Canis lupus familiaris: one gene and its partners. The protein of the gene in region 4 interacts with the protein of the main gene of each other region in a biochemical or structural test. Links are inferred from orthologs where the notes say so. Each region holds a gene or a part of one and is shown on either strand. Other genes may lie near its edges.

What was found.
Region 1: the proteins of NXF1 (region 4) and NUP98 form a complex in vitro, tested with the Homo sapiens proteins (5 studies listed by BioGRID and IntAct). The link is inferred for Canis lupus familiaris from reciprocal best matches to the Homo sapiens genes NXF1 and NUP98.
Region 2: the proteins of NXF1 (region 4) and RBM15 form a complex in vitro, tested with the Homo sapiens proteins (2 studies listed by BioGRID). The link is inferred for Canis lupus familiaris from reciprocal best matches to the Homo sapiens genes NXF1 and RBM15.
Region 3: the proteins of NXF1 (region 4) and ALYREF form a complex in vitro, tested with the Homo sapiens proteins (2 studies listed by BioGRID and IntAct). The link is inferred for Canis lupus familiaris from reciprocal best matches to the Homo sapiens genes NXF1 and ALYREF.

The regions. Positions count from the first base shown.
Region 1 is NC_049242.1:26,404,765-26,410,248, forward strand, and holds part of NUP98 (nuclear pore complex protein Nup98-Nup96), read right to left. Parts: intron 2,238-5,484; coding exon 2,121-2,237; intron 1,953-2,120; coding exon 1,654-1,952; intron 1-1,653. UniProt on the Homo sapiens protein: Plays a role in the nuclear pore complex (NPC) assembly and/or maintenance. NUP98 and NUP96 are involved in the bidirectional transport across the NPC. May anchor NUP153 and TPR to the NPC.
Region 2 is NC_049227.1:42,106,995-42,113,137, forward strand, and holds the start of RBM15 (RNA-binding protein 15), read right to left. Parts: upstream 3,878-6,143; 5' UTR 3,546-3,877; coding exon 683-3,545; intron 1-682. UniProt on the Homo sapiens protein: RNA-binding protein that acts as a key regulator of N6-methyladenosine (m6A) methylation of RNAs, thereby regulating different processes, such as hematopoietic cell homeostasis, alternative splicing of mRNAs and X chromosome inactivation mediated by Xist RNA.
Region 3 is NC_049230.1:1,220,827-1,226,946, forward strand, and holds ALYREF (THO complex subunit 4), read left to right. Parts: upstream 1-2,016; 5' UTR 2,017-2,031; coding exon 2,032-2,268; intron 2,269-2,588; coding exon 2,589-2,720; intron 2,721-4,228; coding exon 4,229-4,376; intron 4,377-4,973; coding exon 4,974-5,037; intron 5,038-5,139; coding exon 5,140-5,317; intron 5,318-5,401; coding exon 5,402-5,416; 3' UTR 5,417-5,726; downstream 5,727-6,120. Other genes in the region: ANAPC11 (anaphase-promoting complex subunit 11), read right to left, coding at 780-888. UniProt on the Homo sapiens protein: Functions as an mRNA export adapter; component of the transcription/export (TREX) complex which is thought to couple mRNA transcription, processing and nuclear export, and specifically associates with spliced mRNA and not with unspliced pre-mRNA.
Region 4 is NC_049239.1:54,402,293-54,408,352, reverse strand, and holds the start of NXF1 (nuclear RNA export factor 1), read right to left. Parts: upstream 4,043-6,060; 5' UTR 3,910-4,042; coding exon 3,882-3,909; intron 2,349-3,881; coding exon 2,165-2,348; intron 1,947-2,164; coding exon 1,793-1,946; intron 601-1,792; coding exon 517-600; intron 407-516; coding exon 302-406; intron 206-301; coding exon 125-205; intron 16-124; coding exon 1-15. Other genes in the region: STX5 (syntaxin-5), read right to left, coding at 6,052-6,060.

The DNA of each region.
Region 1 (5,484 bases), on a different chromosome or scaffold from region 4:
TTTAATGCATTTTTCTTTTATTCTATACAAAACCCAACATGGAAAGAACCTGCCTTGATTACAAAGTAATTCAGTGATAGAGGCAAAGCTGTAACTCCAAACTCATCTTTCTTTTTTGTTTTTTTAAAGATTTATTTATTTTAGAGAAAGAAAGAAAGTATGAGTGTAAGAAGGGCAAAGGGAGAGACAGAATCCCAAGCAGACTCCCCATTGAACACAGAACCTAACTCGGGGCTCAATCCTATGACCCTGAGATCATGACCTGATCTGAAATCAATAGTTGGATGCTTAACCAGCTAAGCCACCCAGGCACCCTGGCAATGGAATTTTAAATTGAAAAGTGACAAATAAGGTCAATGAGAAAACTAAGAACAATAAAAAAATTTAGACTGGGTATTTGAAAATAGATGTAGTATCATAATAAATTTGTGTAGATACACACACACAAATATAGATACTTGGATTCTTAACATGAAAATATAAATTTGTTCCCTTAGGGCACTAAGTGGCCAGAAGATATATATGAAGGCAACAAGATAATTACAGAAAAACTTCAGACACTTCAAGAGTAACTATAAAACAACCCAAATGTTCACTAACAGAGATTAGATAAACCAAGTATGGCATACATTTATAATGGACTATTATTCAGCAATAAGAAAGAATGAACCAGGACATCTGGGTGGCTCAGTGGTTGAGTGACTGCCTTTGGTTGGGGGCATGATCCTAGGGTCTTGGGATCGAGTCCCACATTGGTCTCCCTGCAGGGAGCCTGCCTCTCCCTCTGCCTATGTCTCTCTCTGTCTCTCATAATTCATTGAAATAAACTTAAGACCTGTGTCCTTCACTACATATACATTATATCTTGGTTAAAAAAAAAAAAAAAAAAAAGAATGTGATTACATTCATGAAAACCCAAATAAGATATGTCAACACAGAAAAAGACAAGCCAAGTGCCTGACCAGCTCAGGTGGTGGAAAATGTAACTCTTGATCTCAGGGTTAAGTTTGGGCCTCACACTGGGTGTAGAGATTACTTGAGAATGAATGAATGAGTGAATGAATGAATGAATAAATTTAAAAATGCAAGTTTTAAGTGACCAATCGACATACTATAATCTTGTAGTTTATATTATGTGTTTCATGGATTCATTGGGAAAAAAACTAAGCAGTTCACTGTTGAGGAGAAAAAAAGCAAAGCACAGAACTGAGGTAATAATAATTAACCAGAGCAACTGATACCATTTGAATGCCTATACATTTCAGGCATTATGGTTTATATACTAATCTAATTGAAACCTCAAAAACCTTATATGATAATTATCAGTATTATTTTAATTAAAAAGCTAATAAGCAATCTATCTGAGTTTATAAAGCTAGGTAAAGTATAACGATAGTCTCTCTGGCTATAAAATTTGGGATCTTTATACCAGGATAACTAATGACATGAATTTTAACCACTCCAAAGGCAGAAAAAGTATGTGAATTAGGAATCAAAGCGTAAGTGAATAGTGTTTAAATGTTACCATCTATAAACATAATAAAATCATTTAAGATCTCTGGTAGCTGACTTCCACTAAATTGAGTATCTGTGACAAATAAGAGGTGTCAAATGACTGGTAAAAGATTACCCATGTACCAATCTGAATCTGACCTGCTGGATGCATATGGTAAGTATTATTTTCTATTTCTTCTCGGTCATCCTGAAGTGACTCCTCATGAAAAGAGGTCTCTTCACTGCTTCCTTCCAGCCCATTTCGCAAAGCAGCACGCATGTTTAATGCAACAATAGTATCATCCACACTGCTACTGCTGTTGTGTTTATTTCCAGCACTCTCTGGGGTTTGAGGAATGGGTTTGGCAATAGGGTTAGTATAAAAACGTGACACAAGAGAATCATCATCTCCATCCTGCTGATGGTTGTCTTCGACAGGTTTGCTCAGGAAGCTGAATCTGAAAAGGTAGAAAAGAAACAGTATCTCAGTCCTTTATAACAATGATAACAGCCAACCCTCACTAAATCTTTACTGAGTGATTGGCACCATTCTAGGTGCTCGAAATCCCTTCAAAGTGAGAACAGGGCTCTCTACCAGAAACAACTCGAAACAAAATTTGGTTTACCTCTCCCCATTTTCCGGATAATCAGATGGTGAAGCTAGATCTTCTGAGTCACGATTAACAGGAGAGAAGAGATTGCTATTGTTAAGGTTTTTCAAAACCAACTTCTTAATGCTCTTCCTATAAATAGAGACCAAAAGAGGAAAAAAAAAAATTTCAGGTACACATAATTACATCACAAGCATTATCTTAAAAACTAGAGTCAAAAAGAACATTCTTGTTCAGCTCTTACGTATCTAAAAATTACCTAACAAGTCAATTCACAATGTTTAATACATAACCAGAACCTAAGGTCTCAAATATATTATACTATGGCATTTGAAAGAATAAGCTAAACACATTTAAAATAAAGTGGGAAATCTCCTTGAGGACATTCTTCTCTGAACCCTGAGCACTTTATCCAAATACTTATTTAACCCATCACACTATGTCTTGTATTTCAATTATTTCTGTGTATGTCTTCTCTCTTTAAACATTTTCTTCCTTTTTTGACAGTAAGGATTCACGACTGTCTCCTCACAGAACCTGACATGCTGCCTTGAAGAAAATAGGAAGGATACATTTGCTGACTAAATAAGATTTCTTTTTAAAGATGACAAAAAGAGGGGCAGCCCGGGTGGCTCAGCGGTTTAGCGCTGCCTTCAGCCCAGGGCATGATCCTGGAGACCCAGGATCTAGTCCCAGGTCAGGCTCGCTGCATGGAGCCTGCTTCTCCCTCTGCCTGTGTCTCTGCCTCTCTCTCTCTGTCTCTCATGAATAAATAAATAAAATCTTAAAAAAAAATAATAAAGATGACAAAAAAAAAAAAACCAAAACAGGACCGAAAAACCCTGAGAGCCAATAATGCAAATAATTGCAAATACCTTAAAATTTCAGGTGTGCATACAGCAGATTTATTTAAGACAAGAACCTCTATCGTATATAAGCTTCAAACAGAAGAAACAGAGATCATCTTATCTTACTCAACCTCCACTTAAAAACCCCCTGGATTAATTCATGTGCCCAATCCTTCTTTCATAAACAAACTACAATGGGTGATGAAGTCAGTTAAGCATCTGACTTTTGATTTTGGCTTGGGTCCTGATATCAAGGTCTTGAGATTGAGCCCTGTGTCAAGCTCTCCACCCAGCTTGGAGTCTGCCTGGGACTCTCTCTCCCTCTCCCTCTGCCCCTCTCCGCTGCATGTGCTCCTTCTCTCTCAAATAAATAGATACATCTTTTAAAATAATTAATTAATTAGTTAATTAACAAGTAGTAGACCACTCTTGTATATTTATTTCTAATCTCAACAACTGAGTTATGGTTAATCATCAGTAGCATTTGTTACAAACACACATATGCTAGTTATACTCATTATAATCATGTAATATTTATTAAATTAGCCAATGAAATAAGCACTTGACAGTAAGGAATTAGTATTTCTGTGAAAATTAAAACTTGCTTTCCTATCAATGACGGACTGGGTAATGCAAACCGATCCTCCTAGGACTAGGAGGAGCCAGAGCTCTCAAACTAGGAGAGCCAGAGCTCTCTATAAAGCAAACAAAATAGTAAAAAAAGATTGAGCCAGCACTAAGGGGCACTGGCACAGGGGCATGTCTGTTATTTAGGGTTGCTTTTCTCCTGGGGGCTTTTCTGATTCTAAGAGGAAGGTTAAGGGGCGCCTAGGTGGCTTCATCGGTTAAGTGTCTGCATTTGGCTCAAGTCATGATCCCATGGTCCTGGAATTGAGCCCTACCTCTGACTCCCTGCTCAGTGGGGAGACTGCTTCTGCATCTGCCCTTTTCCCCCGCTCATACTTTCTCTTTTTCAAATAAATACACAAAACCTTTAAAAAAAAATAAGAGGAAGGTTATGAAGTTGATGGTATGCTTGACAGTCTTCATGGACTAGAGAGACAGACACTGGAGCCTAGAGCCACCAAGAGGTTAAGGGCACTAGTGAATGCCACTTGCTCTGTGTTGGGACCTGGAAAAACTCTACTCCTCAAGTTTAGAGAGAACTAAAAGTAAAAAACATAAAATCACAAGTTTAGCTTTGATTCTATCATCAAGCACCTATCATAAAAAAGCAAAAATTCTCTTAAAAGTCAGTATCATCTTTGACCTCTATTGCCACAGTTTTGAGAATATATTAACAGACATAAAATAATTTTTAAAAAGACACAGAGACACAAAATATTTCTTCAAAGAAGATAAATGGCCAATAAGCAAATGATAAGATGTTCAACATTATTAGTCATAAAGGAAAGAAATACCTCATAGAAAGAGATATCTCATAAAGCATGAGATACCACTTCACACCCACTAGGGTGGCTGTTATAAGCAAACAAAAGAAAAAATACTAGGTGCTGACAAGAAAATGGAGAACATGGAAACATGCATTACTGTTGGGAATGTAAAATGGTGCAACTGTTACAGGAAAACAGTTGACAGTTCCTCAAAGGTTAAACATAGGATTTATGTATGACCAAACAATTCTAATCATAGATATATACCCAAAATAACTGAAAATAGGGAGTCAAACAGATACTCGTACATCATGGGATCCCTGGATGGTTCAGCGGTTTAGTGCCTGTCTTCAGACCAGCGCATGATCCTGGAGTCCCGGGATCAAGTCCCACATCAGGCCCTATATGGAGCCTGCTTCGCCCTCTGCCTGTGTCTCTGCCCGCCCCCTCTGTGTCTCTCATGAATAAATAAAATCTTAAAAAAAAAAAAAAAAAAAAAAAAAAAAAAAAAAAAAAAAAAAAAAAAAAAAAAAAAAAAAAAAAACCTCGTACATCGATGTTCATGATGGCACTATCCAGGTAGCTAAAAGGTAGAAACAATCCAAACATCCACCAACAGATGAATAGATAAACAAAATGTATTATCCATAAAATAGAGTATTATTCAAGCTCAAAAAGTGAAGTTTTTGTTTTTTTAAGATTTCATTTATTTATTTGAGAGACAGAGAGTGTGTACTCACGTAGGCACAGGTGGACAGAGAGAAAGGGAGAAGCAGACTCCCTGCGAGAAGGTAGCCTGACTTGGGGCTCAATCCCAGGACTGGGATCATGACCTGAGCCAAAGGCAGATGCTTAACAAACTGAGCCACCTAGGTGCCCCTGATTTTAATCATTTTTATGTATATTTCATCACAATAAGAATTATTAAGTTTTAAAAACCCTTAGGTAAAATACAAGTGATTCAGTCATAGATATGTAAAGACTGTTAAATATTAAAATGGATAAATTTAGGAAAACTGTAGATGCATTCATTTTTTATGATATTGGAAGGAAATAAAGTAATCAAAATATCCAAACATAAACACAAAAGAGGAAAAAATCAGTATGAATATAGAAGACTTAAATGATTAGCAAGCT
Region 2 (6,143 bases), on a different chromosome or scaffold from region 4:
CGATTTTTACTGAACAGTTACAGCTACAAACCAAAAGTGCATATACGGGATACAGAACTTAAGAACTAATGATAAAAAGGTTTATGTTAAAGCAAACTCTCCGGGAATAAACCATGTATATCAAGAGAAATACTCAAATACCTGATTAAAATAATTAATATTGCTATACAATTTACCAGCTTGTACTTTTAAGATTCCTGATCAAATTTCAGCCACACAAATGATATTTCTGGTACAAGAATTATTTACCTACATACCAATCAAGCCCTTTTTAGATGTATATTATCTTCTTTATATAGTCAGTGGGCTTTTCTCCGAATCCTGACTTTTCAAAATTTTGGGTTTGTAACTCTGAGGATTTTTTTTAAGCTCAAGGTTAAGGGGGGGGAAAAAAAACACAACAAGAAAAAGAAGGGGAAAAGAAGTTACTAAGAGTAGGAACTCCTAATTAAAATAAATCCATCTGCCTGCTACCTTCAGGGCATCCCTTTCACTTAATAGCTAAACTGTCCTGTCTTCTATTTCAAAGGTTTATAAAAATATAAAAAAAAGAAAAAAAGCTTCAACTAAACAAACTAACTCAAAAGAAAATTTCATCTGATGCTGTATCCCATTACACATCACAAAACAGGAACCATGTCAAAGTAGTAAATACAAGTTATACATGGACTTTAGGACGCACCACGGACAATGATCATGACCAGGTAATCTTCTTCAGATTTGGCCAGTGCCTTGGCAGGGGAATCCAGGAACTGCTGGGAGAACTCACAGGGTGGGAAAGCATGTAGGACCCCGGTGTTTTCCTTGTCTTTGTTGCCCCCCACGGGAAGGCTTATCACCCCAGCGGCCTGCTTTTGCTTTAAATAGGACACAAGGTTCCTAAGTGGCCTCTGAGTAGAGGTGGCAGTGTCTGATGTGGCTGAGGAAGAGGAGGACCTGCTGTCAGAACTTCCAGGCACAGCCAGGAGAATGGCATAACCATTGGGACCTGCCACTTTGATGCGTCGAGTTACTTCATCCAACTTGGGCTGGTCCAAACGAAGACGCTGAGTGATCTTGAGCTGGGCTACTTTGCCTCCAGTTGAGCCCTCCACAAGAAGACTACTAGCCACTTGGAGGTCACCCTGCAACAGATGCATGTTGGAAGGAAAGTTGCTGTTCTTCAATAGAAGCATGCCCTGCCAGGCCAAACAGAGCTTGGGAGAGGCTGCAGTGGTGGGGGCTGTCCCACCATCCTGTTTCTGGGAAGGGGACTTCAGCTTTGAGGAAGCAGTGCTGGTGCTAGGCGCACTCCCATCAGACCGGTCTTCTTTTTTCAGAGGGCTTTTTCCCTCAGTGGGAGCAGTTGTCCGGTGCTTTCTATCCCGTTCAGCTGATGCAGAGTTTTTACGGTCTCGCTTGTCACCCTGGCTCTTCTCCAAACTTCCTCGCCTGTCTCTGACTGGAGAGGGCCTTTCCAAGATAAGAAGACGAGAAGATCGATCATTGTCACTGTTGTAGCGATCCCGGCTACTGCTCAATTCCGGGCTGCGGTCGGGAGAAGGAGCACAGTGACGTTTTCGGGGACGGTCACTCTCAGGGGACCTATCCAGGTGCCGGCCCCCACTCTCCTCGGGCGGCCTTCGCTTCCTAGGCTGGTCTCTGCTGCTGGGCAGATCTCGCTCACCTCTGTCCCGGTCCAAGGACCAGCCATCTCGCCTGCGATCCAGGCTATCCAGGGGCTCGTAAGCAGGCACAGCAGCAGCTGCAGTCCTAGTGCTGCGTTCACGAACTGGGGGCGGGGGTGGCACCCAGTCAGAGTCAGGATAAAGGTCTCTGTCACGATCTCTGTAGAGTAAGGGTGGTGTCCTATCCCGAGCACCCCTCAAAGGGTCAGGTGCCCGATGTCCAAAAGCATCTGTCACCAACTCGTAATGAGTTAAGGGCAAAGGCTGCAGATACTGCTGCTGGTAACGATGTTCTGTATCTGCAAAGTCTACTCTAAGGCGACGATCTGGGCCACCAAGTGGGAAGCCACGCATATGGGTCCAGGCAGCATGAGCTGCATCCAGGCTTTCATACTGGATATATGCCCAACTATCACCTTTGCGGTAGTCTATAGTGCGGATGGTGCCAAATCGGTCAAACTCTCGTGCCAGGGCAGCAAGAGGCACCCAAGGTCCCAGACCACCTACCCAGAGGCGAGTGGTGGGTGTAGCTTTACCATAACCAATTTTGATAGGATTCCGAATAATGATCTTGCCAGACATTGCTAGTTTGGCCCGGTGAGACATGTCTAGGTTCTCAAATTTAAGGAAGCCATAGGTACTGGTCTGGCCCCGAGAGGGCCTCTTGATATCTACCTCTGTGATGACTCCAAAGCGGTCAAAAGCCCTTCTTAGGTCACTCTCTGTCACAGTGATGTCTAGGTTGCCCAAGAAAAGCGTCCGGTTAGCTCGCTGATCGTCCTCGGGTGAGATCTCATCCACTTCTCGGAAAGGAGCAGCACCTGCTCCAGCTCCCACCCTGGGCTCCAGGCTGTACGCCGGGCGCACTCTCTCATAGAACGGATAGTCTCGCTCTCTCTCCAGCTCACGGGGCAACGGTGGCGGAGGCGGGGGGGGCAGGCGGCCAAGAGCCAGCTGCTGCAACCGGTAGTCTCGGTACCCCAGGGCCGCGCCACCAGGGGAAAGCGATCTCTGGCCGCCGCCTCCAGGGGGGTGCCGGTGTCCGCCCACGGAGGCGCCCACCACGCCAGCCGACGGCGGGTAGGGATCCTTGTCTAAGGGGGAGCGGCTGCGGCGGCGGCTCACGTACACCGCCTCGATCTTCAGCGGCCGGTCATAGAGCACCAGGCGGCCTCTGGCATGCTTGGCCGCCCGCGCGTCCTCTGGCCGCCGGAAGTTCACAAAGGCTACTCGCTCATCCCCGCTGCCAGAGCCCGAGAGATGACTGATTTTGACACTTACATCACCGAAGCGCTTGAACTCGTGAAACAGTCCGTCCTCCACCGCCTCGTCACTCAGCTGGGACCCCAACTCGCTGATCTTCAGCGTCTTGTACTCCGCGCCGTCCCCAACGCCGGGAGCTGAGGAGGCGGCCCCGGAGGAACGTGACTCCCCGCCTCCACCCCGGGAGCTGCTGCGCGACTCGCCCCCGCCCGAGGAATTTTTGGTGCTCGGGGAGCTGTAACTGTGCAGGCGGCCACTGGAGCTGCCCCCGCCGGTGTCATACTCGCGGCTGCCGCCTCGGCTGCTGGACTTGTCCAGGTGGAGGCTGCGCCGCGACCCGCCGCCGCTGTCGGTCTTTCCGCTGCTACTCCCATTGCTGCCACCAGAGCCCCCTAACTTCTTGCTCCGCTCCCCGCGGGAAGTCGAGTCCTCACCACCGCGGGAGCGTTTGGGCTTGACCGGAGAGCGCTCCTTCCCCTTCATTGTTGCGGGTCGCCGGAGGTCGTCTCCGCGGAGATGCTGAGCCCGCCGCCCCGCGCTCGTTTCACACAGCGGAACCGCACGCCGCCATCTTGGACTCCGCCGCGGCAGAGGCTCCCGCCCCGCGGCCCTCATTGGTCAGCTGGCTCCTCTCTGCTACAGGCTCATTGGGAAAACGTCCCGTCCGTCTTCACATCTCCCCGCGCTCCGGAAAGGCGCCCGCCCGCCCGCTGTTATTGGGCTCCCAACGCCCGGGTCCGAGTACCTCATTGGTCGTATTTGTTGTCCATCTTAACGGCTCCTCGCGCCAGGCCGCAGCTCCGCCCCTCGCACTGTAGGGTCACCTGACCCAAACTCGGGAGGCGCTGATTGGGCGAAAAGTCTGCCCTGTAACGGTACTTCTGGCGCGGTAAAAGCGGTGATCCCACCTCCTCATTCCTTTCATTGGTTTCCGACCCCGTCCTTTAACTCACTATTTGGGAAGTCGGGCCATCTGTTCTGGCGCTTTTCCTGAGAGGCCCGCTTACAACATTCTCGCGAGAGACAGAAAGCGCTCCCTTTCTCGACCTCTTCTTCCAACTCCTCGGACGGCTGTAAGAAGTTTAAATCTGATTGGATGCTGACGAGGGAGTTGATAGGCTGAAATAGCTGTCCGTCATCCGCTTAAAGGGGCAGGCCGTACACGGAGGAGGCTGACTGAAGGTGAAAGAGCGGACCGCGCGCTCGCCGTGCGGCGTCACCGGGACGTCGCGAGAGGCTGACACGGCGCTGGCTCCGCCCCCGGCCGCTCGCGGCGTTCCGTCCACGGGCATTTACGGGGCACTTATGGGGTCCCGCGGCGTCCGTGGGTGTGCCTGGGCCGCCCGCTCGGGGCCTGTGCGGGGACCGAGCCCTCGGGGCGCGGTCCCCAGGAGGCCGGCCGCGGCAGCCGGAGAGCGCCGCAGGCCGTGGGGCTCGCCCGGGCCGGCCTCCTGGGCGCTCCCCGCCGCCCGGCGACGTCGGTCGGTTCGCTCTTCCTACGTCGCGCCCCGTCACCGGGCGAGGGCCGACGTCCGCGTGCAGCCGTGGGCGTGCGCCCCGCGGCTCCTCGCGCCGCCTCGCCGACCCCCCGGGGCCCGCCCGTCGTGAGGTGAGTCCGGCAGCCGGAGCAGGTGCTCGGGCGTCGGGGGAGGGGGGGAGGGGGGGCCAGGAAGCCCGGGCCGGCCCTCCCCGCCGCCTACCCGCCTACCCCGAGGCCCTTCTCGGGGGACACGGCTGTTGCCCGAACCCGAGCTTGGGAGCCGCGTCAGGGCCGGGGCTGCAGAGTCCGGCTCTGCCTTCGCCCCCCTTCCCCGCATGACGTCGAGGGAAGCGATAGGGATTTCGCTTCTTGCTCGGATGGAGGAAGCCTGGTGTGAGGACGTCGCGGCAGCGGGCGCACGCTCCCCCGCGTGCCAGGACCAGCTGCCAAAGCCCGCGAGTGGGCCAGGGTGTGGGACGTACTGCCGCGGGGGGTTCTCCACGGGACATGGCGGCGGCGCTGCCTGTGTTTTTGTTGATTTTTCCATAGAAACTTCACGGCGGTACTTAGGGAGTGGCCACTAAGATCGCCCTGAGACGGGGCTGGACGGTCTGGCGGGAGACTCAGCTTGTCATTGCATGTCATTCTAGCATTTCTTCTATTAAAAGGAAACTTGTTTTACCACGTGTATGTTATTACCATCTCGTTTTCTTAAAATAGCAATTATTTTTAGATTCCTTTAAACTACTTTTATAGAAAAAAATAAAAAAGTAGAATACTGGGGGATCCCTGGGTGGCGCAGCGGTTTGGCGCCTGCCTTTGGCCCAGGGCGCGATCCTGGAGACCCGGGATCGAATCCCACGTCGGGCTCCCGGTGCGTGGAGCCTGCTTCTCCCTCTGCCTGTGTCTCTGCCTCTCTCTCTCTCTCTCTCTCTGTGACTATCATAAATAAATAAAAATTAAAAAAAATAGAATACTGGGCCGCCTGGGGGGCTCAGTGGTTGAGCAACTAACTACCCTTCGGCCCAGGGCGTGACCCCGGGGCCCGGGATCGAGTCCCGCGTGGGGCTTCCGGCGTGGAGCCTGCTTCTCCCTCTGCCTGGGTCTCTGCCTCCCTCTCTGTGTCTCTCATGAATAAATAACTTTTTAAAAATCTTTAAAAAAAAAAAAAAGAATATAAAGGTCTCCCATGTACCCAACACCCCATTTCAACAATTAGCAACCCATGTCAATCTTGTTTAGCATACATTCTCTTCCCACTCTTCCCCCTCGTTATTTTGTTCCAGGCTTATCTGGTACATTTCCTGCCCCAGACATGAAATTAGCCATTTCTCCAAGGAGATCTGATTCCTTTTAGGGAGAAATGATATTTAAAGATAAAAATTTATATGTTAGGGAGTAAAGACAACAACAGCCAACATATTATTTGTAAAAGCACAAGACAAAAAGCTTTACATGGTTAGGGGATTTTAATCTCTTTCAAGGTTATATTAAATACAACACAAAATTGAAGTTAAGTTCTTATCTGATTATTTAATATAATAGCCAATCCAAATAAACCAGGCTCCAGAGTGACTATTTTTGCCTTAAATTGACCTGCATAGGTGACTGAATGATCAAAGATGCCCAAATCAGTATAGTTTATCCAACATAACAGGGATTGAAGGAGCATACGAGTTGAGGGAGAGAACTCAAGGAGTTGGTACCAGTATGTGTGGCAGTGCCCGAGGCTC
Region 3 (6,120 bases), on a different chromosome or scaffold from region 4:
CGCTGATGCAAAAGCCTGTTTTTGACTTAAAAATACACTCAAGCAAAAATAAAAAAAGAAAATACACTCAAGCATTTCTACTTCACCAGAACGTGATGGGACAGAGGTGAGACAAAAACCACCAGAGAGGTCTGATAAAACCTGGCGGTGGGCACTCTGTGGCGTGACACAACCACTTTGCTGAAAGGTCAGATGCCTTGAAAAACGAGGGAGAGGAATGGAAGCGCCTGTTCTATATTCACGTTCAACAGCCAGGGCAGGGCTGAGCGAGCACACGCACGGACACCTGAGACAACGTGAGCAAGCACCAGGAATGGGGGGACACTGAGGGCTTATCGTCACGTCCGGTGTGACAGTGCTACACTTAGTGACTGGGCTGGAGGGGAGCCGGGCCCCAGAAGCCACTTCCAAGCCAGGACGTGAACACAGCCCTTAGCAGCGCTTAGCAGCGACGGTGGGCGCTGGCCGAGGGGACGGGCACCCCCACGACAGCCTGCGTGCCCGCTGGAGAATCGTCCCGTGGCGCTCCAGCGTCCCCCGGCCCACGGGCGTCACGGCTGACTGTGAGCACAGTAAAAAGCCACACGGCCCTCTCTTACAGAACTTTCCATGGGCTCCTCACACAATCATGGGCCCAAACCACCTGCCTTTCTTCTGTCAGCTTGTGTTGAGCAGAGTGACCCCAAAACCCAAGCACCTTGCGCAGGTGTTTCCGAGGAGATGCCCTGGCCAGGCCCGCAGGCAAAGCTCGAGGGGGAGGGAGCACAGGGCACACTCACAGTCTGGGCAGCAGCCATTAAAGGCCATCCGGCAGATGCCACAGTTCTCGTCGTTGGCCACCCAGAGCCAAGTAGCCACGCCGTTCCAGCACTTGATCTTCACCTTCATGGCCGCGGAGCCTACAGGGGGAGGAGACATCGCCGGGCCACACTCAGTCTGCACAGCTACCCATCTAGGCACCCAAGGGGCGCGGCTCCCAGCCGAGGGTCAGCCGGGGCCGGACCTGCTGCCAGAGCTCAGAAACCCTGAGAGCTCTGCACCAGCGGCAATGGCAGGGCCCGGGCCACCCTTGGGAGAACAGCGCGCCCCAGAGCCAGAGTTATCGGCGAAGACTGCAGGGTCCGCCCTGCGTCCCCAAAAGGGCACATGGGCTTCGCCAGTAATTCCAAAAACGTACCATACGGGTTTTTTTCAAAGAGATACGACTAAATCGGGGTTGACAAATAGAGACCCCAACCCAGGTGACCACGAGTTCACGCCAGGGAACCACCACCCAGCCCACTAGGCCTGCGCCACCACCCCAGGGTGAGGGTGCAGAGTGGGGGGTGCCGGGCAGGACCCGGGGTTGCGGGGGAAGGGGTGAGGGCAGGAGCATGCAGAAGGAGTGCGCAGAGGCCAGGAGAAAGTGAGGTGCAGGGAGGGACCAGGGTGTGTGGAGAGTGGGATGTGGGGAAGCGGTGGGGGGGGAAGGGCGGAGCGGAAGGCGCAGGGGTGCGAGCAAAGAGTAGGGGAAGGGGTAGGGGTGTGGGGAGAGGGTGGGGTAAGGAGCGGGGGTGCCTGAAGGGGGTAGGGAAGGCGCCGGGGTGCGGGGAGAGGGCAGGGGAGACGCAGGGGTGCGGAGGGAGGCGCAGGAAGTGGTGGGGGAGGTGCGGGAGCGCGGGGAGGGCGCGAGGCCGGGGCGCGGGGAGGGGGGGGGGAGGGGAGGGGAGCCGCCCGCCCCGCCCCGCGGCCCCGCCCACCTGCGCCCCCCGCCGGCCTCCGCGCGCCGACCCCGCCTTCCGTCGGCGGCGCCCGCGTGGGAAGGTATAAAAGCGGCCGCGGCCGCCGCCGGCACCTCAGCTGCGCCCGCCGAGCCCGCCGTCCGGCGCACGCGCCCCCGCTCCCGCCCGCCCTGCCCGCCCTCGCTCCCGCCCGCCGCGGCCAATCCCCGGCGGCCCCGGCCTCGGTCCCGGCAGGCCGCGCGCGGCCCCGGAAGTGACGCGCCGACGTGCTGACGCGCGGGCTCGAGCCGAGGCCGACTCCGCGCCCGCCATGGCCGACAAAATGGACATGTCTCTGGACGACATCATCAAGCTGAACCGGAGCCAGCGAGGCGGCCGCGGCGGAGGTCGGGGCCGCGGCCGGGCCGGCTCCCAGGGCGGCCGCGGTGGCGGGGCGCAGGCCGCCGCGCGAGTGAGCCGGGGCGGCGGGCCCATCCGGAACCGACCGGCCCTCGCCCGCGGCGCGGCGGGCGGCGGCGGCAGGAACCGGCCGGCGCCCTACAGCAGGGTGAGCGGGGCGGCGGGCCGGCGGGCGGGGGCGCGCGGGGGCGCGGGCGGCGGGCCGGGGGGCTCGGGCCGGGCGGGCGGGGGGGCGCGCGGCGGCCGCCCGGGGCGGCGGAGACCCTCCGGGCCTTTGTCTGGGCCGGGCGCTGGGCCTCGTGGCGGCGGCGGGCGTTGGGCGCGGCCGCGCAGGCGGCGGGAAGCGGGTCGGAGGGAGCGGCGGCGCCCGGGACGCCGGGGGGACGGCGGGCGGGGGCGTGCGGGCGCCGCAGGGTCCGCGGGAGACGCTCACGGGCCGCGTGCTCCTGTGCTCTCCTCCCCCCGCAGCCGAAACAACTTCCCGACAAGTGGCAGCACGATCTCTTCGACAGCGGCTTCGGGGGCGGCGCCGGCGTGGAGACGGGTGGGAAACTGCTGGTGTCCAACCTGGATTTCGGAGTGTCGGACGCGGATATTCAGGTGAGGGGCGGGCGTTCGTCGGTGAGCGGGTCACCCGCACCCGGTGGCCCCGTTGAGGACGCGGCCTGAACCGCCCGCGCCGCACCTTAGGGCGGGGAGCCCTAGGGGCCCAGGGGCAGCCGCCGGCCCTCTAAGGGCTGCAGGAGTGCAGAGCGGAGGTCCTGGCCCGGGAAGTGCGGCCGGCAGGTCGGGGTGTCGGAGGTCGGGCCCGGCCTAGCGGGACGAGCTGCCGCTCTTCCTGAGTCGTGCCCCGCGCGGGGGCGCAAACCCCCTGCCGGAGCCCTCGCTCCTGGCGGGAAACCTCGACCTAACCTGAGCGGTTTCTGTTCCTGCCTCGCTTAGGATCTGCGTTTTGTTTACTTTGTGCTTCTTTTAACGGTTTGCTGGGAGGACAGAGATCTTTTTCTGTGGAAGCCTACGGGCAAAGCACAGACGCAGGACGGCGCTGGGCATGCTTTTGTTCCGCTGGCCTTGAGCCCCCGGCTCCATGTCGTACAGGACCTATATCCTGTCTTTCTTCCCCTCTTTTTAGTGGCATGATTCTCAATCCCGACTTTGGTTGAAGCTTCTTTGTTTTCTTTTTGTTGCTGTTGTTGTTGTTTTGGTTTTTGGGGTCTTTTGGTTTTGTTTTTTTGGGGTGTTTTTGTTCTTTTGGGTTTTTTTGTTTGTTTGGATTCCAAAAGCATATAAACTTGTTTTTTGATTAAGTAAAGACATTTTGGGGATCAGTCCCAGAGATGGCTGGGTCAGGGTGCTGGGCCTTCCTGGGTTCAACTTCCCCAGAGCCCAGCTGTTTGACTACCGTGGGAGGACAGAGCAAGGCCGGTGAGCACTCACGGTGTCTCAACACTTTTTTTAAGGTGGTTTCTGGCATCCACTGGAAACCGCTTTTGGTGAACTCCACTTCCCGCTGTGTGCCTGCGGCCGGAGTAGCCCCACACTCTGGGTTCCCTCTCCAACTCCCAGCCTGCCTGAGGTCAGGGCAGTTTCCATGGCAGCGCTTGACTTCAGCCTTTGCGGCAGGCTTGAGTAGGAGGAGAGGGAAAGGTGAGCCAGAATCTGCCCTGGGGGAGGGGCTGGGTCAGGGCTCCCGAATCGACGGGCCCTGTGAGCTGGTGTCCACATGTCGGATAGCATCCCTTGCTCTGTGATCTTGGCCTTTGCGGTTTCTTGGTACAGTCCTTGGGTGTGTTGTCAGTTTTCCTCTGTTGAAGAAGATAGCGACTTAATCTTGTTCCCTTCACTGGCGGGTTCTGTGGTCCTTTACCTGCATCCTGGTACTGATGTAAGGTCCCCACACTGGCAGGAGCCCTCAGACCCAGCTGCTCCGGGAAGTGGCTGTCCCATCTGCCCCTCCCTCCCCGTGGTTTCCACTACCAGTGCCCTGCCCCAATACGTGTCTGCCTCCCAGGGAAATAACCCCCCCTCAGCAGCTCACCCTCCCAGGGACTGTCCTGGGCCACAGGAAGGGAAGCACCTCACTAACAGCTGCTCTTTCCGGCCCCCAGGAACTCTTTGCTGAATTCGGAACTCTGAAGAAGGCAGCTGTACACTATGACCGCTCCGGGCGCAGTTTAGGAACAGCCGATGTGCACTTTGAACGGAAGGCAGATGCCCTAAAAGCTATGAAACAGTACAACGGCGTCCCTCTGGATGGTGCGTCTGAGGTTGGACCCGGATGCTAGAGGGGCTGCGTCTCGTGGAGTCGGGCTGGCCGCTATCCGTGCAGGAGTATGGCTTACCCCTGTGGCTGAGGACACTTTGCATTCGCCCCTTTGTCTCTCTCTTCCATTCCGCCACCTCTCATGCTGCCCCACACATCCGGACCAACCTCTTGTGAACCCCCATCCAGCAAGCTACACCCTCCCCTCCTTCAGCTCCTTCCGGAAGACTCACTTCTGTGAAGCCTTCTCAGAACCGCCATAGTACACCTCTGAGTGCGGGGCTGTAGTCGTAAAGACAAAGGTACCGGTTCTTCTTCCGTCAGGCCACCCACACCTTTCCACCCATGAGCACCCCGGACACCTGACCAGACACCCAGCTAACTGGACTGAGAAGGAGCGAGGAGGTTTTGGTGGGGTTGTCATTGGCACCATCTCGTTCTCCCACCAGTAGTGCTCGGCCACTCCCCTTGTTGGGAGCATTTGGAGACACAGCCCCTTTCCAGTGCTTGCATGGAGACCGGGGTGTGGTGCCCCTCGGCGCGTTTCGAGCCCTCTAACTGCATGTGTCCTCTTGTATTCTTTGCCACAGGCCGCCCCATGAACATTCAGCTTGTCACGTCACAGATTGACACACAGCGGAGACCCGCGCAGAGGTGAGTTCTGGGGTCTTTGGGACGGTGCTGACCTGTGGTAAGTGGGCGCTCACCCCATGGGCCTTTGAACATCACGTGAGTGAGTCCCCTCTACCTTGGCAGCGTAAACAGAGGTGGGATGACTAGAAACCGTGGCTCTGGAGGTTTCGGTGGTGGCGGCGGCACCAGGAGAGGCACTCGTGGAGGGAGCCGGGGCAGAGGTCGAGGCACTGGCAGGAGTTCGAAGCAGCAGCTTTCTGCAGAGGAGTTGGATGCCCAGCTGGATGCTTATAACGCAAGAGTAAGTCACAGACGAGGGTTGGGGAGGGCAAGAATTGACTGGAAGCGTGAGGGCTCTTGTTGAGCGGAAGTTTCTGTGTTTCAGATGGACACCAGCTAAAGAGACCAGCAGATCCTCAAGTGGAGCAGGACCCAGATGTCTCCTCCGTGCTCCCTGGCGGGAGGGGGCGGTGGACTGGGGGCTGTGCAGCCAATGATGGATTTGTTTCTTTTATGTTTTAAGATAGGATTTAAAAACTCATGTAAAGGTTTTTTTTTTTTTTCTCTCCTTTTTTTCTTTTTTTTTTTTAATTCTGAAGCAGCCCTGTTTTGTACCGAGTTATTTTTGGGATAAATGTTACCGGTTGCCGTTGTGGGGAAGGTGGCGTTTTCACCTTTGCCATAATAAAAGAGACATGTGTGGAACTAGAGTTCTGTGGCTCATCCCCTGTCGCAGTCCTTGCTTGGGCCACAGCTGTGGTGTCGGGGGCTGACGAGCGTGGGGAGCAGTCTCCCCTGGTAGCTGGAGTCTGCTCGGGAGGGAGATGGCTGCTGCTCCGCCAGGCCTGACTCCTTCCTCTCCCACCTGGTGGATGCGCCTACCTAGCTGCCTGTACCAGGAAGTGACAGGGTGGGTTGGGGCGCCCTGTTGTTGCCAGATTCATATGACTGGGTAGGGCTGTTCCTTAGCTTCTGGTGCTCTGGTTCTCAGAAACGTGGATCAGCAGTTACGACTTCATAACAGCATCCTTTCTCGTTTCTCATTTGCGTCAGGCACAAGCCCCAAAGTGTCCTCTTAATCTCATCCCAGGTGAAAGGCTCGGG
Region 4 (6,060 bases):
TTTGCTCATGATCAGCTACAGGAGAAGGAAAAGGGGTCAGCGGTCACTCGGGTTGTGCAGAGGGGTTGTGGATGTGAGAACTGGTGGAACTAGAGAGGAGACACATGACGTGAGCCTGCCTCACCTTTAGTTGCTCTACTTGTTCTGGCTTCAGTTCGTTCTGTACAGAATGGGGTGGGACAGAGGAGTTGATGATGATAGATATCTGCAGGGAAGACACAGAGAGCAAGGTGAATTCTGGGAAAGCCTAAGCCACAGGACCACGACCCAACTCCAGCCAAGCCAGGCCCTTTACACACACCCTTCGGTTTTCCTGATCCAAAATCTTATAGTTGACAGCTTTCAATGCAGAGGCGGTACTGGCATCCTCCACAAAAAACTGGGCCCGTGTGTTTTCATAGTGAAACTGCACAAAGAGGAAGAAACAAGAGCATGAGACTGGGAGCCTGGGGCCCCTGGTCCAGCTGGCCCCTCACCTTCCTTGGTGCCCAGTCAGCCACCTGGGCCTTATCTCACCTCAATGGGGGTGAAAGGGACACTGCACTTGCTCTGAATCACACTCAGGAGCCATGACTTGTCATATTTTCTCCCATAGGGAATCTAGATGAGAGAGAAGGAATATCATGTAATAAAGGCTGACCAACAGACTCAACCTAGTGCTCCTTTCACACCTTCTGCCAACTTCTATGACATTTCCTAAAGGAAGGGCCAGTTAAAAGTTTTTTTTTTTTTTACTCAAGTCAGACACAGATTCCTTACCTTCCTTTCTGCCCATTTAAACTTAGTATTTTTCAAGAAAATAGAACTATGTGGTTCCTTTTTTAAATTTAAGATTTCATTTATTTATTTATTTAACACAGAGAGAGAGAGAGAGAGAGAGAGAGAGCGCGCGCGCTCAATCAGGGGGAGGGGCAGGCAGAGTGAGAGGGAGAAGCAGGCTCCCTGCTGGGGTTTGATCCGAAGACCCTTGGATCATGACCTGAGATGAAGGCAGATGCTTAACCGACTGAGCCACCCAGGTTCCCCAAACTATTTGGTTCTAAAAGTTCTTAGATATGATTTAGACCTGGCCCACCCCTCAGAGAACTTAAGGGACCCCAAGCCCCATACTGGGCTTGAGCCAGATAGAGACATTTGGATGGGTTACTCCACCTCCCAACCAGTTAGCACATTTCCATTTATTTATTTACTTATTTATTTATTTACTTATTTATAATATTTTACTTATTTATTAGAGACACAGGCAGAGGGAGAAGCAGGCTCCATGCAGGGAAGCCGACGTGGGACTCGATCCCGGGTCTCCAGGATCACACCCTGGGCTGAAGGCGGCGCTAAACCGCTGGGCCACCCAGGCTGCCCCCCACATTTCCCTTTAGATGGTGTCCCCATCCCCCTCATCCTGCTTATCCCCCCTCTAACTCCTTTTCTGAACCTGCTCTTAGGTGTTCTAGGAGAAAGGCTGGACACCCGACTGTGGAGAAAACAGTGAAGATTGATTTTGTTGTGTGAAAAGTAAAGACCTACACGCTGAGCCCAGCCCCCTATCTCCCTTGCACCATCTACTTCCCCAGACACTCAGTGTAATCTCTTTTTAGGGGGAGGGGGGAGGGGAGAGGGAATGGGAGAGGAGGAGGGAGGAAGAGAAAGAATAGGAATCTCAAGCTGGCTCCATGCCCAGCACAGAGGTGACGTGGGGCTTGATCTCATGACCTTGAGATCATGACCTGAGATGAAATCAAGTGTAGGACAGACACTAAACTGACTGAGCCACCCAGGCACCCCAGACACTCACTGTAATCTTAAACCAGTTCTTCGAGGTCCCATCCTGGCTGGTGCCAGCCCCTCCTCTCTCTGGAAGAATTCTGTCTCTCCGCACAGTAACATGAATGCGATCTCGATCATGCCAACTGTCACCTCGACGGTTGGGTCGGGGAGGATAGGGGTTGCTGTGGGGAAGCAGAGAATAAAATGTCCGCAAACACTAGGAATGTCTTCTCAAAGGCTTCCCACACTGTTGTCAGGATTATAGCTAAAACTATTTAACCATTAAACTGGCCCTGACATCCCTCACTTTTCCAGGTGAGAAGGGAAATGGTGTGGGCAGCAGAAAGCTATATAAATAAATCTGGTTTGAGCTCTCAAACCAGATCAATTGGTCGCTTACTGTCGTATTCGGGGAACATCCTGGGCATCACTCATTGCCACATCTCTGTCATCTTCCTCCAGGCGGGAAGACCGAATGCCAGAACCTCCTCTTCCAGACCTCCGGTTCCCCTCGCCATACTTCCACCGGAAAGGACCCCGGCCTTTCTTTCTTCTTTGAGGGAAACTAACACGGTCATCATGCTCTGGGGTTAAAAAGGACATCCATTAGAAACATGCTGTCAGCCCAGCTACCCTGCTGTGGGAATCACAGTAGCAAGCAGCCTGTGCTATCAAATGAGATACACACCAACTACAGAGCCCACCTCCATGCAAACTTCTGTCTGTTGAGAGGAGAACCCTCTCTGTGGCATGGCAGCAGGAGCGAAACATCACTGGAAGACAGGGCAGGGCTTTAGAAAAAGGACTCAGGAACTGGAACTTACAGACCGGGAAAGGCACAATGTGGAAGTGTGAGTAGAATATGGACCCAGTGTGGAACTAGACCCCTGAAAAGTCACCTGAAATCTGCTTGCTCTTAGTTTCCCAAATCTATTTAAGCCTTCTCAAAACTTGGATGGTGACCTCGCTCAACATCTCCTAAATCAACCAATCACGACGATCACATCAGCTCTCAGTAAACAAAGCTTCCCTTGCGCAGAGTACAAGCGTCAGTTACAAATAAAATTAAGGGCTTCTTTAAAATTCTTGTTCTCAAACTGCCACTCTGAACTTTTGGGAATGAGCTGTTTATTTCCTTGGCAAAAAATGCTTTTTTAACTTAGGAGACAACTCCTAAGATTCAGGTTCTAGTGGCAACTAGGGAGCTTAGCCAAGGGTCCTGGACTGCTCCCCTGGAACATGACCCTCTGAATCCTGGGGTGTAAGAATAGCATCTTACAAAAAGGTCCCTGACTCCCCAAACGCCTCATGCCTAGTGTTCTGCAAACAATGAACCTTAAGAAATGACGGGGGGCGGGGGGGAGGGCAAAAAACAAAACAAAACACCACAACTGAATATAAGGCGCAGCAAACATTCACTGAGAACTTTCTTCAGTGCCAGGCACTATGCCCCGGGCACTTGATACGAATGATCTCGTTGAACAGGAGGGCAAACCCAGGAAGTAAGTACGGTCACCACCTCCTACGGAGATAGAAAATGAGGCCTGGGAGTGGAATTCCCTCAAGCTCGGGGAAGACGACTCAGGACTCAACCCGGCTGTCATGTGCTCCTCCTCACCACTCCTCCGGACTAAAACCGTGCGTAGTGTTCGGGCGAGCACAGCGAACCGGTGTGGAAGTCTAGAATACTAAAGCCAAAGCCAAGGCCGCAGGGGACGCGGGACAAGAGACCGGACGCGGTGGGAAACGACACAGGGAGCCGATGAGCCGGGCACGGACTCCTATTAAAGGCAGAGTCCGGGCGCCAAATCCAACTGACAGGCATCACCACCCACAAAGTTCAAAGGAATCGCCCCCCCCCGGCCAGGCCGCAGCCCCGGGCCGAAGCTCCGCGCAACGCCACGATTCCCGCGTCAACACGGCCGGCGCCCCGCTCGAGTGCGGCCCGACCCGCAGGCGGCCTCGGCCTCGCCCCCGCCCCTCCCGCGCCGCCGCCCCTCCCGCGCCTCCCGCGCCTCCCGCGCCTCCCGCCCCTCCCGCCGCGGGGCTGCGGCCTACACCGGCGCCGCCCACCGGGCCCCCGATCGCCTCGCCCCCGCCTGACGACCAGCACTGACCGTTGTAGGCCTTCCCCTCGTCCGCCATGGCGCAGCGAGAAGCGAGGCCGGCTCAGGCGCGGGCCGAACTCCGCCGAACGCGCGAACACCCGGGCGCCCGGGCCGAAGCGCTCCTACCGCCGGCGCCGCCGCATTTATGCTGCGAACTACGTCGCGCGCCGCCGACGTCCGCGGTGGTGGGCGGAGCCGCCGGGGAGCGCGGCCGCTGCGCGTGCGCACCGGGCCACAGCCGCGCCGGGGGCGGGGCTCGGCCTCTCCCGGGCCTGCCGAGACCCGCGCTCGTCCAGCCCGCCCCGCGTCGGCCCGCCCCGCCGCCTGCCCCCTCCGTTCCGTCGCTCCGCCAGCACCTCCGGGGCGAGCGCCGGAGCCGAGAGCAGGCTGCCGCAGCCCGGGACTCCGGGAGGAACACGGGAGGGGGCCGCACACGAAGGGCTTCCGAGCAGCGGGCGACCCGACTCTCCCGGAGCGGGGTGGTCAGTGGCCGTTCACGGAGCCCTAGCCGCACACAGCCAGTACTGAAGTCTCAGCCCGGCCTCTGCCAGCGCCGGATAGATACCCTTTCTTGTCTATAGATTGCCGGGCAACAGAAAACTAGAATGTCAACCCCGAGAGAGCAAGGACCTTGACTAATTCATCCTTTTTTCTCCAGCTCCTGGCTCAGGAACTCGGCCTGGCATGTGCCAATAACTCCACAAACACTTGTGATATAAATGAACTTCCAACCTATGCATCCTTCCAAGAAGTCAATTGACAGTGTGCGTTTATCCAGCTTTGGCAAGCAATTGTCTTCACAACCTCCCCACCCACCCCTGAAGTGCTGTGCCGGAAATACATTCACTGTCAGCTGGGCAGTGGAGATGCAACTGAGACCACCAGCTGAACAGAGGCCAGGGAGAGAGGAAATAGTAAAATGCTGGCCTAGAAAAGACATACGTTCTCCTTCCTTTTCCCCTCTCCAGCCTGCCAAAGTTCTAGGGTCAGCTCTCAGTATGCTGGTGGTTCTCTGTAACTTGAAATTCCTTTAGGGTGTGTGAGATGTGGGGGGACCGCAGTAATCTCAGAATGATGTGGTTGTGGCTCCTGGCCCAGAAGTGTATTAATCTCCCTGGAGGGTGGGTGTTGCAGGCAGGTTTCTCCTTCATTCTCCTGTCACTGGCTTGGATTTGGTGAGAGGCTTGGAGTGGACCAAGAGCCTCAGCTGGAGCTGGGAAACCAGTTCTTCACCTTTCACTCCCGGCAGCAGGCAGAGCTCCTGCGTCATCCAGTTCAAGGAAAAATGGGGGCCAGCTGGGTAGAGGATGCAGCTGAAACAGGTACAAGTACTACTGGAGATGATCCTGGAAGTTGGCACCAATCAGGGACCCATTCTGGGGTAGTGCTTCCCCCTCTGACGTTTCCATGCTAATGAAACGCTGCTGCACTTGGTTGTTCCCAGCCCAGAGGCAGCTGTGTGCACCCACCCCAAAGCTCGGCCCTCAGAGCCATCAGCCCAGCTTTGCAGTTCTGGTACTAGGCAGCACACTCACTCCACAGGCTGTGAAGGCCCTCGACGCTCCCACCCAGAAATGACAACATGGCTAATGAGGCTGACAGTCTTGCTGTAATTGGGAGAAAATGGGCTGCAGCGCATTTGGCAGATTGAGAGTCACCAGCAGCCAAAGGTGGGGTTGTGCAGGCAGCTGAGGGGCTCAGGGCCCCCTGCCTCACGTAGTGGAGAGAGGAAGAAGAGAGAGGTCAAATTCTAACCCAGATGGGAAAGTTGGTCCCGGGGGCAGTTTCACTTCCTTTCCTCACTCTCAGGAAGGGGAAGGGCATCATCTCCCCTTGCTGCCAAAGTTTCCTTTGGAAGAGGTTGGGGAGTTTCTAAAAATCTCCTACCTAGTGGAGACAACCTCCCCTACCAGCCCCTAGTTGGCCTCTGCTCCCTTCCAGCCACTTCACAGCAGAGTACACATCCAGAACTGTGTGTGTTTCGAGGGCCTGAGGGTGGTGAGGGGAGGACAGGGTGGCCAGAGTCAAAGGGTCAGGGGCATTGGCCATTCTCAGCAGTCCCAGGGAAACAGGGCCTTCCTCCCAAGCACCCTGCACAGGCTCAGTGGCAGCAATGGCCACCCGCCACCCTCCCAAAGGGGTTCCAAACCCGCTCAGAGTGCCTCAGAGTTGAGAGGGTTCAGGCAAG